Arabidopsis thaliana: one gene and its partners. The protein of the gene in region 3 interacts with the protein of the main gene of each other region in a biochemical or structural test. Each region holds a gene or a part of one and is shown on either strand. Other genes may lie near its edges. The genes, in order: CAM9, AT2G46600, PEN3 and AT1G75460.

The links.
Region 1: the proteins of PEN3 (region 3) and CAM9 form a complex in vitro, tested with the Arabidopsis thaliana proteins (one study listed by BioGRID).
Region 2: the proteins of PEN3 (region 3) and AT2G46600 form a complex in vitro, tested with the Arabidopsis thaliana proteins (one study listed by BioGRID).
Region 4: the proteins of PEN3 (region 3) and AT1G75460 form a complex in vitro, tested with the Arabidopsis thaliana proteins (one study listed by BioGRID).

Annotation. Positions count from the first base shown.
Region 1 is NC_003074.8:19,267,423-19,271,680, reverse strand, and holds CAM9 (calmodulin 9), read left to right. Parts: upstream 1-2,022; 5' UTR 2,023-2,366; coding exon 2,367-2,442; intron 2,443-2,535; coding exon 2,536-2,696; intron 2,697-2,786; coding exon 2,787-2,864; intron 2,865-3,362; coding exon 3,363-3,503; 3' UTR 3,504-3,730; downstream 3,731-4,258. Other genes in the region: AT3G51930 (Transducin/WD40 repeat-like superfamily protein), read right to left, coding at 1-9. UniProt on the Arabidopsis thaliana protein: Potential calcium sensor.
Region 2 is NC_003071.7:19,134,392-19,137,102, reverse strand, and holds AT2G46600 (Calcium-binding EF-hand family protein), read right to left. Parts: upstream 1,085-2,711; 5' UTR 1,034-1,084; coding exon 626-1,033; 3' UTR 503-625; downstream 1-502. Other genes in the region: RS31a (RNA-binding (RRM/RBD/RNP motifs) family protein), read left to right, coding at 1-209, 304-334; DAG2 (Dof-type zinc finger DNA-binding family protein), read right to left, coding at 2,198-2,711. UniProt on the Arabidopsis thaliana protein: Calcium-binding regulatory protein that interacts with kinesin motor protein KCBP in a calcium-dependent manner. Inhibits KCBP microtubule binding activity and microtubule-stimulated ATPase activity.
Region 3 is NC_003070.9:22,032,438-22,040,452, reverse strand, and holds PEN3 (ABC-2 and Plant PDR ABC-type transporter family protein), read right to left. Parts: upstream 6,031-8,015; 5' UTR 5,793-6,030; coding exon 4,955-5,792; intron 4,873-4,954; coding exon 4,742-4,872; intron 4,466-4,741; coding exon 3,203-4,465; intron 3,117-3,202; coding exon 2,960-3,116; intron 2,881-2,959; coding exon 2,776-2,880; intron 2,697-2,775; coding exon 2,551-2,696; intron 2,467-2,550; coding exon 1,625-2,466; intron 1,537-1,624; coding exon 609-1,536; 3' UTR 327-608; downstream 1-326. Other genes in the region: AT1G59865 (uncharacterized protein), read left to right, coding at 7,156-7,453, 7,814-7,919, 8,007-8,015. UniProt on the Arabidopsis thaliana protein: Together with ABCG37, regulates auxin homeostasis and responses by playing a dual role in coumarin (e.g. esculin) and in the auxin precursor indole 3-butyric acid (IBA) efflux transport, thus influencing cotyledons, roots and root hairs development.
Region 4 is NC_003070.9:28,325,981-28,330,297, reverse strand, and holds AT1G75460 (ATP-dependent protease La (LON) domain protein), read right to left. Parts: upstream 2,601-4,317; 5' UTR 2,313-2,600; coding exon 1,476-2,312; 3' UTR 534-1,475; downstream 1-533. Other genes in the region: PUP15 (purine permease), read right to left, coding at 1-121, 205-244.

The DNA of each region.
Region 1 (4,258 bases), on a different chromosome or scaffold from region 3:
TCTCACCATCGTATCAAGAGATTCAAGATTTCGTTTCTATTTTGGAACAGAGAAACCAACAAAATTGGAGCGTTTGAGGAAATGTTAAAAAGAGTATTTATTTTTAAAAAGGAGGAGAAGGTGCAACGGCTACATTGACAGGTGGCGTAGCCTCCTTTTTTTGCCTTTTGCTTATCATTTGCGCATTTTCATTAATTCGTGATATATGGCTCATGGAATCTTATAATATATGAAACCACTTCAGGAGCCTTAAATTTAATGTGTGCATATCATAGTAACGGATTGATCATTGTTCTCTTGTTTGACCAGTGATGTTAATTGGACCATATGTGGATACTGTAACGTTAAGGATTATGAAAATCAAGATATAGATATATGTATTTTTCAAGTATACGATATACCAAATTAGTTACGACAAAATGCGAATGAGTTGGTAGTAATGAGTAAACCTCAAAATACTGTTTTTTTTTTGTCAACAAACTTATGTTATTATACTTGGATGACTTAAATAAGCTAAACCGAAAAACATTGTTTAACCTCAAAATACTTATTTAATTAGTTGGTAGCATCGTTACATATTATAATTACGACTACGAGTTAGATTCTCAAATAATATTCCCAAATGGATATATTTACATCGATTGATGCATGCTTATTTGTAGTGATCGTCCCTTATGTATATTATGTTTTTATTTTATTTTTTGAACATAGTATAATATTGGTGGGAGAAGACAAAAATAAGGGAGCTCTGCCATCTAATACGGGAATCAAGATATCTGTTTTACATCAAACAAAGACTAGTGTGATGAAATGAAAGTTAAGTTAACAACAATAAAAAACAAAATTAGCTGAAAATGTAATCAAATGAGAGATCCGAATCCGATCTCCGCTAAGTAAAGCGTAGTGGGAGCGTAAATTCGCGTGAGTCTGATTCTGAATCGTATCATACATACCAAATCAAACATTAACGTTTATGATCTTACTTACCCATATCTTATTTCTTAATTTGTTTGGTTGTTTGTAAATGAGAAATACACTATGATAAGAGAAGAAGATCTAAATGAGGCATAGATCTCTAGATACCAAAACAGATAACGCCACCAACTAACATCCAATTAAGGATATATAACACGGCATCTCCCTCTTTAGTAAGCTTACGACCAAAGTAGTGTGACTAGTGCGGAACATTTTTGCAGTTAATACTACTTAGCCTCAATTCTTAATTATGACCGTATGGGACAGGGTAGGTAGGCACAAAGCGGATATTGTTTTTAATATATTTGCATCGAATTTGGTTTGTTGGATCGATAATCTTTTAATATGTATCCGCTTTTGAACTAGTCTATTCTCCGATTGTAGAATGAAACATCTATCCGAAATTCTAATTTGTAGTATTAGTGATTTGTTTTGTTTTTAACAGTATTTTAATATTTGTTTAAATTTGTAAACTTATGGTTATCCAGACTTTTTGAATCATTCAAAAGTGGAAAACAGATCGAATGGAAGTATAGAACACTACAATATATTTTCATATTTTTCTTAGCCGTAAGCCACTAATATTGGATGGACATAAACATAAGAGACCCCACAATATTTATCAGATTAAGCCTTTATTCACATTACAATGTTTCGTTCTCAACTTCTCATCATAACGTGAATAAAAGTAGGAGTTAGAATTAGAACACAACATCTCTAACAAATCTCTTATCTGCATTGCTTTGGAGAGACATGTTTGTACAAGAAGAAAAATGTTTATGGTCAGTCCGTTTTTTTCATATTGATTACCTTTTAAATCCCATTTGGTATTAAAAAAAACCCACTTCTAAGATATGTTTCGCTTTTTATGGTAACAAGACATATAACTTTTCAAAGTTACTGAATGGAATTCTTGACAGAAGTTGTTAGGACACTAAATAATGGAAAATCAAAATCAAGGGTTACATTAGAGACACGCGTACATCAATTATTTCTTAAAATGCAACTTGGTGTACGACTTTTAATTCTTGAGTCCTCAAACCCGAGCATTACTCCACCCTTTCTTTTCGCAATAATCAAGATCCTAATTTAATTCCCTATAAGTATTTTTTCTAATAACTATGAAAATAAAGAAAAATAAGCGTTGAAGTCATAAGTTTGAACAAAGACGCGTGACCTGGAATCGTGCTCAAGAAAAAATATCACAACTAATGAAAACGCAAGGTCATGAGTATTGACCTTGACCGGGCAAGAGCCTAGAGCCAAGAGGTGATGTGTACTTAAATGTGATAGATGCTCCCTTCTTCTTCTCTCATCACTAACAAATTAAGAGAAGCTGATCATCAGATTGAATCAAAGACAGACTTTGACTTTTCTTTGTGATCGAAGATATGGCGGATGCTTTCACAGATGAACAGATCCAAGAGTTTTACGAAGCCTTCTGTCTCATAGACAAAGATTCCGATGGTCTGCTTTGTTCTCTCTCTTTCTTGTTCGATTTGATACACAAATTTATTCAGAATCGATCGGTTTGATGATGTTATGATGCATGTGAAACAGGGTTCATCACGAAGGAGAAGCTAACGAAAGTGATGAAGTCGATGGGGAAGAATCCAAAGGCGGAACAACTGCAACAGATGATGAGCGATGTTGACATCTTTGGCAACGGTGGCATCACTTTTGATGATTTCTTGTATATTATGGCTCAAAACACTTCTCAGGTAAAATATATATACACACTTAAAACCGTTTAGTTATAGTAAAGATTGATAATTGTAGAGAAAAGTTAATAATGAAAAAATTGGTTGTAGGAATCAGCATCGGATGAGTTAATTGAGGTATTCAGAGTGTTCGACAGAGACGGAGATGGTCTCATATCTCAACTTGAGGTAAATAAATTGTCTAACTATTTACCAAATAGTACATTGTCCTGACATGGAAACAATAAAAAACGAGTTACATACATATATAATAAGATTAAGTGATCATGTAGATGGATATAACGAAAGAAGAGAAATTACTAAATGTTACTTTTTTGAAGACCTTGTTATTATTATCTTTATAATCTACTATCATTCACTCATTACAACACAAATTTTTGTCGCCATAAGAAACTCCATTGCTCATATGGTCTTGTTTTTTTTTTCTCAAACCGACACGGCGACAACACAACAATCGAGAGACACATAGTCACATACTACTTGAAAAATACTTCGTTATCTGAATTAAAAAGATTTATATTCAAAAATAATGCAAAAAAGATTGGTCATTTAACTTGGTCAAATGGTTATTAGCTTACTTTTATAATATAAGCCATTCTCTTAACTCTTAAGTCTTAACTATAGTTTATTTAGCCATTTCTCCTAATTTCTATAAACGAAATGCAGTTGGGAGAAGGAATGAAGGACATGGGGATGAAGATAACAGCAGAAGAAGCGGAGCATATGGTCCGAGAAGCCGACCTTGATGGCGATGGTTTTCTTTCTTTCCACGAATTCTCTAAAATGATGATTGCTGCCTCTTATTAGCATTTTGTGAAATGCCATGATTTAAGAGTTTGTTTTTGCACAATTACAACTATATTTCAATATGTTACTATATTTTCCCAACATATAATTAAAGTGTGTGTTACTGAATCAATGATTTTTTTCGGTCGATAAAAAACTATAATATTTTTCCTATCCAAAATTCGAACCAAACCAAACCAAACCAAAAGTATTGTTCTGTTTTAAACATATGTTTTTTAAACCGGAAAATCCAAACCGAACTAAACCGAGAGTAATTATCTGACTCGGTCACTCGACGGTAGCGTGCCACAATTGAACTGGTGGTCGATCCTTAACTTCCATCTTCAATCCTTGCAAAACCCTAATGAAGAAGCAGTCTGAAGAACCAAAAATCAGTGGTTTTTTAATAAGTAAATGGTGAGAAAATCTGTTGAACTGTCGAATTTGTTTATAACCTATCAGCTTTGCTATAAATTGTTTGTTCCAAATTCCAATTCAAGTCCCCATCATTGAAGGTTAAGTAGCTTTGCTTTTTTGTCTGCCGACGGTTGTTGTAGAAATTTATGATGTTCTTGATGCTTGTCACTTTCACTCATATTGAGATCTGTCTCTCGATTCATGTTTCTTCATCACAGTGGACACAAAATGACCTAGAAGCTGAGATAGTATATTTACATTGAGTAGAGCAATTTAGTACTTGCAATATTCGTTTTAGTAGTGTCTAAAAAAGATAAGGCTTTGGTTGAACTCCATTCTAAAACCCTTACGACTGATTG
Region 2 (2,711 bases), on a different chromosome or scaffold from region 3:
GAAGATAGATATGCTGGCAGTCGAAGAAGGAGATCTCCTAGCCCAGTGTATCGGAGGCGTCCTAGTCCTGATTATACCCGTCGTCGCAGTCCTGAATATGACAGGTACAAGGGTCCTGCTCCTTATGAAAGACGTAAGAGTCCAGATTATGGGCGTCGCAGTTCAGACTATGGTAGAGCAAGAGCTAGGAGTCCGGGCTATGACAGAAGGTAACAGTACTTGGCTTCTGAATGGTCAATATCCTTATATATAGTGTTATGTGCTACTCTAATTGTCTGATTTTTCTTTTCTATTTTTTAACAGCCGGTCCCCGATTCAAAGAGCAAGAGGTTGAAGATGTTGTTGGGCGATGGATTTTTAGAATGTATGGGCATGGTACAAAAACAAGTTCTTAGTACTGAGTCTTTACCGCTTATGACTTGAACCGTATGTGCTTTGCACTCTATGTGGTGTAGAAAGTATTAGTAGCTTATAATGGCAATGATCTCTTTTGGAATTGGAATAGTTTCAAGGCAATCCATTCAGTTTTTCAGGATCAAGAAATCATTACTTCATTTTATATTCAGAAACATTTATAGGTTTTGTAGAAGTAAAAAGAGAATACACAAGAAAGGAGGACGATCATTCAAGGCATAGAAGAGAGATTGTGATTACATAGTTCTTGGGTGAGTGCTTTCTCCAACCAAGTTTCGGCGTCTTCCATCATCTCAGGGCTTAACCGAACCATGAGAACGCAGAATTCGGTTTGGTTAAGAGCACCATCTCCATCGAGGTCTCCTTCTCTAACCATTCCTTGAGCATCTTCCTTGCTCATACCTTCAATTCCAAGTATCCCTGAGTTTCGTCTTAGAGACTCAGCTGTGATGAGATGTCTCTCTGGATCCGCAAGCAAACTGAAACCTTTGCATAACTCTGATACAAACTCTTCAACATCCATCTTCTCCGCCATAACTGGTAACATATCTTCGTATTTGGTCTCCATCTTCGTGGTACTAGTAGTTTCTAGTAACATAGATTTCTCGGTTGGTTCCATTAGAGGAAGACAATGGAAGAGAGAGAAGAGATTTTGGTGAACTCTTTTGATTAGTTCCAAAGGGATATATAAGTGAGTGGCGTATCTGTACCGATGTGTTTGTCACGTTCGTGTGGCCTAAAACTCTCTCTTGAATCGCAGCCGTTGGATTCTGAAAGTTGAAATAATGAACGGCTGATATTCATTCCAAGATAAAATGCGATTTCGTGAGTAGGGAGGGAAGCAGCTGATTATTAGGTGGTTTCGTGGAAAGTTCGAATGGGCCGTGAATACGACGCATTCCCACTCCCATATATTGTTATCAAAAGAAAGACAAGACAATGGTAAGTTTCGGAGAAGTTTCGTTTCTTGATTTCTTCCGTCGTGTCTTTCAATTATTTACTTCAATGGAATTGGATTCTCTTACAATAATAACGACATGTCGACATATAATAAAATATCTCTTTCTCCGTCCAAGCCTTAACTGATTTGATGTAACGGTAATTTCTCGTCTGAATTTGAGATGTGACTATTATGAAAAAATATGAACTAAGTAGTTGTTAACTGGATATAAAATTGCTAAGAGAAAGGTAAAATGATCATTGTGGCTTTTTGAACCAACGACCGAGGACATGTTAGAAGCCTACATAACCATCTTAGCAATGGCCAATGGTTACGTAGTTACTTTAGCTGCCTTATTGATGGCCCGGGCTTATTGATTTTTCCAAGTGATCGATCTAGAGAGTATATCACACTAACTTCTATATCGATAATAGATATGATCATATGAATAATCCTTTTATGAAAACACTTATACAGATAGAAGAAGCGATGAATACATAGTTACATAGTGCATACCATATACCATATATGCAACACTCGAGAGATTCGTATTCACATATTCTTCTACCCATACATAACGCCGTGATTTATATACTAATTAATCAACAAACCAAAATGAAAAACCAACCCAAATTATCATCAAACCAAACTACAAAACATTTAGAAAATAAATATTGATTTTAACAAAAAAAAAAAAAAAAAAAAAAGGAAAGGAAGAATAAAAAGACTATGTTGTGTTAGCTAAGTTCTGACAACTTTAACTAAAGTAACCCATGTGAGGCAAGAGATCATAAAAAGAGAATTAGAAAGCTAATTTCATAATCTCCTTTTGATCATTTTGCTTCACCATGAAGATCCTCCTCCTGTAGTACTGAACATCCCACTCCAATATCCATTATTAGGGCTTGAGTTATTATTATTATTATTATTTCCATGACTCTTCTGTTGTTGATTATCATCATGATCAACTTCTTGTGTTATGCTTGATGAAAGCTCCTTCATTTGATCCCCAAATGGAAACAAAACTCTACCTTGTTGGTGATGATCACTATGAAGAGCTTCAGACCTATTGTTGCTATTGTGTCCAAGCCCTTGATGATCGGTAGAGAAGGAGAGATTACTTGGCTTGTAATCCACCATTGTTGGAAACCCTGAAGAAGTGTAAAGCACAGTGTTTGAATCCATCATTGAACCGGAAGGCATGAACGATGAGTTAATCCCTGATCTTGAAGAAACATTAACTCCGGTTCTTAAAAGTTCAAGAGCTGAAACAGGAGACGACGAGGAACCATAGACAGAAGAAGATGATGAAGGCTGCTGCTGATGAGTTATGTTACCATTTCCCTCCATCTTAGGC
Region 3 (8,015 bases):
GATCAAGATATAGGGTGGTGTATTGGCCTAAACATTTGGGTATGATTAAATGGAAATTTGATTGGGAGGACTTTTGGTAGGATTTAAGGAAATTTTAGGTGATTTAATCCAAAATTCAAAATCGTTTTGTCGTTGTAAGATAGACTTTTCTATATTTAGAAAAACTGATTTATTGAGATTTCTCATTAAACTTTATGATATTGGTGTTGTGTTGTGATAATTTTTACAGAACCATGTTATACAATTATCAAGATTTAATCATGAAGAACATTAACTTATCCTCCATTGATTTTGTCTTCTTTGATAATGGATATGATCACACTTTTTTTCTGTCTTCTTCCTCTTATTGGAAGTATCGTAAAATAAAAAGTCTCAAGAAACAAACAAAAATGGACTTTGAGGGATTTGTGGATATAAACACAAAAAAAAGTGGAATTATATTACATGATTCCGATTCGTCATCATCTATAAGACAATAAATAAAAATATTCAAAAAAATTTCGTTATGACACTACAATACATATTTAGAACATACAAAGCTTATAGTGCATATAAACAACACAGAGGATACAAAAAAAGAAAGAGACTTTGTTGTTTGAGAGATGGTTTTATCTGGTCTGGAAGTTGAGAGTTCTGATGCAGAAGGCGAAGATGAAGGCGAAGAAGACGGTGAAAGCGATGAGTACAGCCGCCACTGGTCCCATAAAGTCAGATTGGAAACCATAATGGTCCTCAATGTATTGCTTGACGGTTAAGTCAGGAGCACCACCAAGGACTTGGATACGTGTCTCCACATCACCGTACTGCGACACTATCAATCCATACACGGTCCATGCAACAGGGCAGATCCAGTAGTACCAAATCCACCATTTTGGGATTTTGGGTCTTGGAATGAAGAAACCAGAGAAGAGGTTGAAAATACCGTAAAACGCTGAGGCGAAAATCGAAGCGACTTGTTGGTTTGGTGTGAGGGAAACAGTCATCATGCCGTAGTAAGTCCAGTAGAGGAATGAGAAGTAGCTAACGAAGACGAACCAGAAGAACTTTTCGGCTTTCCATTCGAAACCAACCATGGCGTAGACGATGAGTGAGTAGTAAACGGTTTGAATAAGGACATAGGGAAGCTCACAAGTGACTTGAGAGATGGCATATGGCATGGCTGAGTACATTCCTGCTGCTCTTTCTCTGTAGAACACTGTTCTTTCCACTGCAACCATCGGTTGTACTGTTGAACAGTTGTTGATTCCCACGAAGATAATCGCGGCATACAATGCTCCTATCACCATTGTTAGATCCCCTGCGTTCGACCTGTTACCTCCGATTTGCCAGAAGACTGTACCAATCAAGAGAGATGTTGCCAATGTGAAGATGAAACGGACAAGATTGTAGTCTGGAGATCTCCAATACGTCCACCATTGTTTCCATAAGCATGATTTGAACTGTCCCCATGTGTTTTGTGAGAATTGTGTAGCAAAGTAAAGATCTGATGCTCCTGCTGGTGGTACACTTAGTTCTTTTACCAACGCTTTGTTTCGCCTGCATTTTGTTATGTATTCATTAGTACTATTACTTAAACAATCAATCAGATGCAATGAGCCATGGAAAAGAAGGAACTTAAACTTACTGGTGCAATGCTGATTGATTGTATAACTCAGCAAAGTCAACACTAAGCTTTAGCTCAGCGGCGAGTGAGCTAGCTTCGAGCATCCAAGTGGCCGGGTTATACTTTTCTGGAATCTTGGACACTCCGGGGAAAGATTCAAAGTACTCAACCACCTTGTGAGAGTTTTGACCCAATGGACCCGCGTAAATCACTTGTCCTCCTCTCTTCATCAGCATCAATTCATCAAATGCTTCAAAGATATCAATGCTAGGCTGATGAATGGTGCAGACCACGGTTCTTCCAGTGTCCACTGTGTTCCTTACCGCCCTCATCACAATAGCCGCTGCTCTAGCGTCTAGCCCTGAAGTTGGCTCATCCATAAAGATGATGGAAGGGTTGGCTACAAGCTCCACCGCGATTGTCAGTCTCTTTCTCTGCTCCGTGGAAAGCCCCGTGACACCCGGTAAACCAACAATGGAGTCCCTAAGACTGTCCAGCTCTACCAATTCCATCACTTGATCCACAAACATCATTTTTTCATCTTTGCCGACTTCTTTAGGAAGACGAAGGAAAGCAGAGAAAATCAGAGATTCTCTGACTGTTACTTGCGGGGAGTGAATATCGGTCTGCTCACAATATCCTGAGATTCTAGCAAATGTTTCTTGAACCTTTGGGAATCCTGATATTCTCACATCTCCTTCAATGTATCCACCTGTTTTCCTTCCGGCCAAAACGTCCATAAGCGTAGTCTTACCGGCACCACTCACTCCCATAAGCGCAGTCAAAACTCCTGGCCTAAATGCACCAGTCACACCTTTAAGCAGTTGGAGTCTTGTTTCTGTAACTCCTTGGTCTCTCATTTCCTATACCATCAAAAGATATCTATTTAGTTTAAGTAATTCATATTTAATTTAGTGTAAAGATTTTAAGTGAAGATAGTTACTTACCCCAGGCATGTCAACAAAGTATTTGACGTCGTCAAAGGACATAGCTAAAGGAGTGAAAGGAAGAACCATTCCTTTCTTATTGCCTGCACCACCTGATGCTTCAGCCGCAGAGTCCCTACTCATTCTCCCCATTGCGACCTCTCCTCCTGATAGCAGGGAGCAGAATGAGACAAGAGTACAAGAAAAGCAAAACATCTAAGCAGATTAAGAAATGTGTTTACTTACTTCTGTTCCCATCTGCAGTAGACAAAGATCTACGCATTGGATCTTTCCCCTGATCAGCGTCTTCATTTTCTTCTTCTGGAAGTAAACCTGCCTTCTTCCCAAGAGCTGTAGTTTCAAAGGTACATTATTAGTAGTCTATTGTTTTTAGATTTGGTAAAACGGGTGATACAACACGAGAACTTACGGTTGAGATAGGTAAGTGCCAAGGTGAATAGAATGTTGAAGAGGGCTGTGAAACAAAGCAAGGCTCCAACTGAAATCCAGTACCAGTTCTTTTGATGGTAGACATCCCAAGTATTAAGCACCATAGTTCCAAGCTTTATTGTGCTGTTAGAAGAAGCCTGTAATTTGAAAAAAATATGACTCAGAGGCGGCTTTACTATGATATTTGTTTGTAAAATGCAGAATAAAGAAGTAAGCCACTTACCATTTTGTTCATCCATCTGGGAGCAAACATTTCATTGACTACTAGACCGTTGAAAGCATAGGTGAGAGGAGATACCCAGTAAGCCCAACCCCACCAGTCAGGAATCTTGCCTTTCGGAAGAAGGAAGCCTCCGAGCAAGAACACAAGAAGTAGAGTGAGAGCACCACCAGTATTAGCAATCATCATGGTTCTGCACACAGAAGCAATCAACCTAAAGAGGGATGCAGCCATTTGTTGAATCAGAAACACCAGAAGAAACTGCTTGAAGAAGCGGCTGGCGTCAGGTGCAAAACCAATGGAGTAATAAGTCACCACCATCCAAGCCGTCGATTCTAATATTGAGCTTGGAATCCCAAGCAAGAAAGTGGGAAGTGAGAAGGTCCAGGATGGATAAAACAAGAGATCCCTCTGTTTGTAGAACACAGGGAGTCTTGAAACCATCATAGCCATCTCCGCAAACCCATTAAACATGTTGATGATCATTCCAAATAGCAATGCTCCTATGTAGAGATTAGCATCACCCTCGTTTCTTGTGTTCATTTCGGTTCTCAGGAAGAGTGTAGACGTGATTGCAGCAATGATGACGATCTGGACAGTCTTGAAAACATAGAAGAACGCGTTTCGCTGCATAAGCAGCCACTCTTTGTCCCAACAGCTCTTGAGAAGCTCCCTCTTTGAGACAGAGTACTTATCGAACACAAGAGCTGCTTTGTGGCCGCGAGACTTATCGAACGGTACTGCAAGTTCGTTAGACATCTTCGTCCCAACATGGAAACTCTTGTATCTACTGGCAAACTCTGAAACCGGAATGTAGTGATAAGGTCTGTTCGGGTTCACCCAGTACTGTTCTTGATCTTTCTTGGAAGTAACCTCTTGCAGGAAATCAGCTGTTCCTTTTCTCTCAGGACACTTGAACCCAAAGCTCTCAAAGAACTCAAGAATGTTGTCTCTCGGTCCTTGGTACACGATCTGACCTTCCGACACCAAGATGATATCATCGAATAAATCAAAAGTCTCAGGAGCAGGCTGGAGGAGAGACATGAGCACCGTGGCTTCATTGAGGTGAACGATTTGTTGCAGACACTTGACGATTTGGAAAGTAGTGGAACTGTCAAGACCAGTGGATATTTCGTCCATGAAGAGTGTCTTAGTAGGTCCAACAATCATCTCACCAGTTGTGACACGTTTCTTCTGACCTCCAGATATACCTCTCATCATGTCATCTCCAACTATTGTGTCTTTGCAAATGTCAAGCCCCAAAATCTGTTACACGGCCAAAGTTAGTATTATACAAAAAAAGACTCAAAACTTTATGAACATGAGAAAAGATTGTCTAGAACATTTTTAGAATATGAAAACTTATATCAATATTCTAAAATAATGAAACCAAACGGTTAATGAATAAATTCCGGTTCAGTTTCGGTTTATAAAAAACGATTTAGTTCGATTCGATTTTATGAGTTGCTTGCCTAGTAACAAACACTCTTCTTGAAACAAAAAGAACAAGATGAGCTAAGTTAAGGCGAGAGTTGGACTCACTTTGAGAGTATAATCAGTGACGAGACTGTTCTTAACACCTTGAGCAGCAGAAGCTTTCATGAAGAGATCAACATCGGCTTCCGGGAATATACCAGCGTCCTTTTCTCTCCTCGCAAGCTCATTCAACAGATCTACAACAACAAGAATCAAAACCATTCAACAAAACTGAATCTTGAAAAAAAGATATGATTAAAGATTGAATCTTTTACTTACCATAACGAGTACCAACACCTTGACACCTAGCAGAGAAGTCAAGAGTCTCCTTAACAGTCATGATACCAACATGAAGATCGTTCTGACTAATGTAAGCAGAGGTCTTTCTCGGAACAAACTCATCGAGTTGGTAACCATTGTAAGTAATATCACCACTGACTTGTAGAGATTTATCAAGTTTCCCAGCTAAAGCCAACAAAAGAGTGGTCTTACCAGAAGAAGGAGGACCCAACAAAAGTGTCATCCTTCCAGGTTTAATAACCCCAGAGATATCTTTAAGAATCGTAAGCTGAGCTTTCTTAGCAAATTGAATACCAATCATACCTAAAGCAGACTCTCCCATGTTCCTCACAACATTCAAAAGTGTAGGAAGAGATCTATTACCAGTGTAACAATCAGCTTTAATCGTCAAATGCTCGTACCTGACTTCAACAGTTGGAAGTTTGATACCAACTCTATCGATCCTGTTTCTTAGCTTAGTCAAGATCCTTTCATTATCTTGCTCAGCTACTTTGAAAACCATGTCAATAAACTTCTGACGATCTTCACCATCAAGCTTGGTTACATCAACCTCCTTGCTCATGAGCTGGTTACCGTAAACATCGTCTTCGACTACAGCGTTCATGAGAGTGGTTCGGAGACGACTGTAAGTTGGTAGCTTCTCAATGGCAGCCCATTTAAGAGCTTCTTCATCGTCGTTGACTGATTGTGTTCTTCTTGAACCAGATGAGAAGATATCTTCAATGTTCCTACTTGCTCTGCTTACACTTCGACTTATGCTTCTTCTCATACTAACACCACCTCCTCCTAAAGGAGGAAGATTTGGATTGTAATCCATCGTTCACCAAGAAAGCTTGTGACTTTGGCTCAAAGTTTATGTCTTTTGAACAAAGTTTGTGTTTTTGGATCAAAGTTTGAGACTTTGGATCTAATCCCGTGAGGATTTAGTTGGGTGATACAGAGAAGAGAGAGAGGAGGAAGATGATGAATGAAGAGAAGAGGGTGGGATTAGAAAATGGATAAATAGGGAGTGAGGAAGGAACATCAAGGCGGACTTTTCTTTATGTTGACTATTCATACTTTGTTGAAATAATCAAAAATAATAAAAAGTCGTGTTTTTTATGTGCAAGATGGGTTTTATTATTCAAATGTGACGGCTCTTTTACGTTGTTTTTTTATTTACAAAAGATATTTTTTGTGCTAATAATGCGACGGCTCTTTAACGTTTGTTATTTTATTGCAAAGATATTATGTAATAATTGAAGTGTTTGAACATTTCTTATTCAAAGTCAATAACGATGACCCCATTTAGTTATAGCTACTACTAGTGGAGATATCGTTAAATGAAAAGTCTTTCTTGTGTACTTTGTTTCTTTTCTACATTTTATTGGTGAGAAAAGAAAGGAAGACCGTCGTTGGGTTTTGAAGTCATTGTGTTGATGAAGTCACATTCACATTTCAATTCAACACATACGTGAAGGATGGTTTGTTTATAAGTCTTTGTGTTCTGGAAAGTGAGAAGTTGCGGAGGAAGAAGCCATTTAAATACCCGGAATAAGAAGTTTTAGTGACAACTCCTCAATGTTGTTATGATAAGAAGACTCCATTGACTTCCTCTTAAACTCTGCGTTTGGCTATTTTCTCAACTAATCTTTGATTAGTGCTCTGCATTTTGTGTATTAACCAATGTCTAATTCATTCCTTCAGCCAGCAAATTTCATTTTCCTGAGCTCTTCTCAGCTTCTTTAGTAATGCTCTATAGGTTGGTTTCTTTGTCAATTAAGCTCTCGGTCTTCTTCAGTCTGCAGTTTATACTCCAAGTTTTCATTTACCTTTGAGGACGACTCATCGATTTTTTCAAGAGAACAAACCTACATTGCTCTGAGTTTTCTAAAGCAATGTTCTTTGGCTTGACTTCGTTGACCAACAAGCTTCCTTTAAATTTCATGCTTCCAGTTTCTGCTTCTCTAACTCTTTCCTACAGATCCTCATTCTTCTCCTCAAGTTCCTTCAGTTTATTCTCATTTACCTTGCCAAGTTCCCGACTTTTCCGCGCAAATGAAGTTCTCGCTGTCTCTACACAGTCTTAGAATGGACAAACTCATTTTGGGTGTTTACTTATCTCAGTCTTCAAGAATTTTTCCTTACTTTTCACTTGTATATTTTGCAGCCAACTTATAACTTTTAATTTGGGCTCCACAATGTTCAAGCTATGGTTGACATATCAACAAGACCTTCTCCAATCCTTGCCTTGCTTTAAAAACGCTTCACTTGTATCCACCAAGCTTTCATATACCTTTGACAAGTTATCGAGTTTTTCAAGAGAAAAAACCTTCATTGCTCTGAGCTTTCTGTTTTCTAAAGCAACCTTCTTTGCCTCGACTTTCATGCTTCCAGTCTCCGCTTCTCCAACTCTTTCCTACAAATCCTCACTCTTCTCCTCAAGTTCCTTAAGTGTATTTTTCATACATGCTTCTTCTTCTTCTCATTTTCCTGAAGGTCAGACAAATTCACTTTGCCAAGTTCCCAATTTTCCACACAACTGAAGTTCTCGCTGTTCCCACATAGTCTTAGAATTGAAAAACTCATTTTGAGTGTGTACTTATCTCAGTCTTCAAGAATTTTTCCACAGTTTTCATTTGTATCTTTTGCAGCCAACTTATACCTTTTCATTTGGGCTCCACAATGTTCAAGCTATGGTTGACATATCAACAAGATCTTCTCCAATGCTTCCCTTGCTTTAAAAATACTTAACTTGCAAATCCAAAGTTAAGCTTTCCATAGCTTTGTTGCTTTTCTCTTATTTTCTTCTTCTTCTTACAGTTTTTTCCTGTCTGAGTTTGTCATTGGCTTCCTTAGTCGATTTTCAGCAGATCATCAAGAGCTCTAGCTTTATCTTTCTTAAGCATTGCTACTTCCATATTACCTCTCCTAAAACCCTCCTGAATCTGATTCAGTTGAGCAGGTACCTCAAAATTCCTTCACTGTTATTACACGTTCTGAAAAATGCCAAAAACAATATGATGATCAATCAATTAACTAAATTGGCCAGACTAGTTCA
Region 4 (4,317 bases), 6.3 Mb from region 3:
GCCAAGATGGTGCATATGATGATGGTAACCCACTGGTTACGTCTCTGATTCGAGTCACTTGTTAGGCTGATCGGTGTGGTTAGGCGGTGCTCGATATCCAGGGCTATTTGCACAAAGTGTTCTGTAAAGGAAAACAATATTATGATTGGCATACCAATATATATATGTGACAAGGGAATATAATGAGACAGAACATAGGCCTACCTTGTGGATTTGACGACTGCATTGGTTGATTATGTCCCATCATATTTCTTGAGTTCTGGGAATCTAGGAAACTGGCGTTTGTGTGTTTATAGCCAAACGCAATGGGTCTGAGGGTGGACTTTGACGGAGTAAGGGTTTTGCCTAGTTGAGCAAATGGGTTTTAGTTACTTATATGCAGACATATTCCTAGAAGTAAAAGACCAAGTACAGATTAAATGACTTTGTCATTTGACACTAGATAATAAAGAAAAAGACAAGCATCATACTGCTTTTGCTTGTTCTATTTTTTTTTATAGAAGTAGTCAACTTCCAAAGTTTTGGAATTCCAGGAAGGCAAGCAATTTTTTTATGGCAAAGGAAACAACTCGTGTACATAAGTTTTGAATGCCAAATTATATTCACCAAAAAACCTTTGTTAATTACACAAGATGCTTTGAAGAAAAACAGAACATGGAGCCGTAAAAACAGAGTTTGTAACAGAAATCATCTTCTTGTCGCGAACACTTGTTAATTCTTATAGCAGAAAAGTTCGAAAATATATGTTTGGTGTAGCAATTTGAATCGATAGAGACTATCTTGACTCGAAACACCACCAGAGTCACTCTGCTAAACCCTAAACCTCGCAGTGAACCATGGACGAGGCTCCATGATCTCATAATTAGACGACACTCGATGGCATAGACATAACGCGGTTATTCATACCAGAACCAGATGATCAAACTAGCGCCGAATGACTCGACAGACACACAGAGGCAGGCAATCCACAGCCCAAGCAGTTTATTTGGTAAGTTTCCACTTGGTTCTAGAGGTCGAAAACGCTCACTAGAATCTACACCAAAGATAATTAAACCAGTACCATAGTTGCAACGAAACTGATACAAGTACCATAAGTCTATAGTATGTAGATAAAGCAACCAACACTACTTAGTCTCTATATGAGTCGTAGCAGTTTTGACATTCCCTGGTTTAGTGAACATCTCTCTCTATTAGGAATTGTTGACATAGCAGATTCTCTAGGTTTCCACTTTGGAAGCTAACTCAAGTAAACCACAACATTTTTGTGATCAATTCAGCTATAAATCCTATAAAAACCTTCAAAACATATACTAATACCACCAAAATCACCGTATTACAAAGGCAATTACACTTTCACAACTTTGCAGGTTTTCATAAGTTTCGTATATTCAATTACTGACAAAGCTCAATATACCAAACGCTTAGAGAGAGAAGAGGTTCAGAAATTCTATGTACCAGTAAAAGTAGAATACACACTAAGATGATGAAGGAAACACATCTTTAACAGCAGAAGCTGCAGTCAAATAATTAAGTGTATTCCTCAAAGTCTCTCTTTCTCTTTTTAACCTAGCTGCCGTATCTTCAAGCTCAAGCAACGCTTGCTGCTCTCTAGGAGCTCCTTCAAACGTACTTCCGACGAAGAACGAAAACGGCGTCGGAAACTGATTCCTCCTCAGATCTTGAACTTCTTTCTCAGCCTTACCATTCAATCTATTCGATAACCTAATCACTTCTTTCATTAGAACTTCGACTTCATTAGCTAACGAATCAAGATTTTCTTCACCGGAAGGACGATCTTCAAGCCACGTGACTTCTCCGACAAGGTAGGGTTTCGTACGAACGACATTCGTGACTCGGAATCGTTCTTGACCTTTGCAGACTAGAAAGAATCGATCATCGACGAGACGCTCGTGTTTCACGACTTCTCCTACACATCCTACTTCTGCGGCGGAGCCAGAGACGGAATCGGAGTAAACTACGCCGAATCGTAGATCAGATTGGAGGAGCGTGTGCATCATGATACGGTAACGGAATTCGAAGATCTGAAGAGGAAGGATTGCTCCGGGGAAGAGAACGAGTGGGAGTGGAAACAGAGGAAGCTCGACGATATCATCGGATTTTGGAGATTTCGCGTTGTGATGCTTCTCGGAGAATGAAGAAGATGAACATCGGAAGGAACTGTTGAGTTTACAACGCCGGCGATTATCAACCGTCGGTGATAAAGATCTAAGGGAGTGAAACGGTGGTTTGGATTTGAAGGAAGGAGATAATGAAGTTGAAGAAGGTGAAGAGACTACGTGTGGAAGCGCCATTACAGGGGAAGAGACGAAGTAATCAGAGAATACAAAAAAGAGGGTTTATTACATTATTTGAATATTTCTTTTGCCTTTTGGTGGGTTTAAAGAAAAAAAAATTAAGGATATGATAATTGACATGTCATTATAACAGATATTTGAGTGATTTGTATTTTTGTTGTGTGGATAATAAACGAGAGGAGAGGAAGAAGAAGTGGATGTGATTCTGAATATCCCACGAGTGAGAGACTTTATATTATCCATCTACAAAATTCTTGTAATGCCACGTGCTCTTTAGATTAGGGATTACTGACTAAGAAGGAATTAGTGACGCATTTTCTAGATGAGAATTCTAGAGAGAATAAAAATGTGTAGAAGTTAGTTGGAAGAGCATTTGAATGGTGATAGGTGTGGGTTGATTTATGACATTTTCCCCTAACTTATTTCTCCAATCTCCAACCAATTATGTACCAAAAAATCATCATTAAACCGGTTAGTATAAGCTTTGTGCTTGTGGTAACTTCATTTCAGGGTTGTGTAATTGTTGATTTGTCAATTTTTTTGGTCAACTCAAATATTTTCTTGGTTTAAGAGATGCAGTAGAATAAGGGCCCATAAAGAAGAGTCCAACTCATCTACCCAACTAATTTTATTCTTGTGATAAGGGAAAAGGGAAACTAATTTTTTGTTTACACATAAAGATTTAAACGAATAAGGCCCACAAATAAGCCCATTGTGAAAAATGGCCCATTTTATATGAATAAGGGTTTGTACTTTGTATCATAAAAAATTTGAACCTTAATTTGCTGAAACAAACTTACAAGATCTCCACACTTGGAGCCAAATGAGCGCGAGTTCGTTTCATAAGCTAAGAGTAGATCTGAAAAAGACATTACAAAGACAAAAAGAAAAACAATATATTTTCACAAATTAAATTGAAAGGGAAATAAAAATGAGAACCACTAATCAAATATCAACGGGAGATTAGGAGGCCAATGATAGAAGTGTAGTAGGATAAAGACGAGTCCAAGGCACGTGGGCTTTGGAATCGTTTGTCTATGTTGCGACAAAACCATTCTTTTTTTTGCTAAGAACAAAACAAAATCATTCTTATGCAAATCCAATTGACATTAATTTACAGAAACAAAACCAATAATCGCTTGCGTAGAACGCAACAGTAGTTTCATCTCAATGTATTGGCCGATAAATTTCAAAATAATATGTTTGTTTAGAGTTTGGAACCAACCATATGCCATGTTTTTGTCGTCCCATATATATGTTTTAGTTTTTAATATTAGTTTGACGATCAGACTTTTTTGTATAAAATTAGTCTTGGTACATATATTAGGTGTTTACATATTTATTTGTTTGGCTGGATATAAGAAACAAATATTTAGATGACAGAAAAAATGTGATGGGTATCCCACAAAAAAGCACCATAATAAAAGTTCACATTACACTCATTATTTTTCAAAGACTTTCGAGATTTCCGGAGAATGATTGGCCAAAATGTGATGTCGATTGAGGCTTTAGGTTTTAGCTTTGGTCCAAAACTTTGAATTTATCAATTGGGTACATTCCAAAGTCTCAGTTCTCGTCGACAATGAAAAGGGAAAACCAAAAAGAACAAAATAATAATAGTATTTATGTTTTCTTAGAAAAGATTGCTATAAAATAGAATAACACAATGTCCCTTCACGATGATTGATGACAGTAACACGATCAAAGCTTCAGAGAATCTTATATAGTTTTCACATTCATAAAACAAAAGTAACAAACAAATTTATTCTTACAACTATACTATTCTTACAGATGATTCTATATATTATTGACCAAATTAAGAATTCTTGGTTCAAACTAAGTATTTAAATATATTATGCTCAAGAGTTGAAGTAGAAGTTTTCCAATTCATTGAAAATTCTCTAGGTTTTAAATTTTATTATTTGTTTTTTTTCTTTCAAAAACATGCATATGCGGATTTAAATTTGGATGGTGACACAAAGCCGGCACTAACACCAATAGA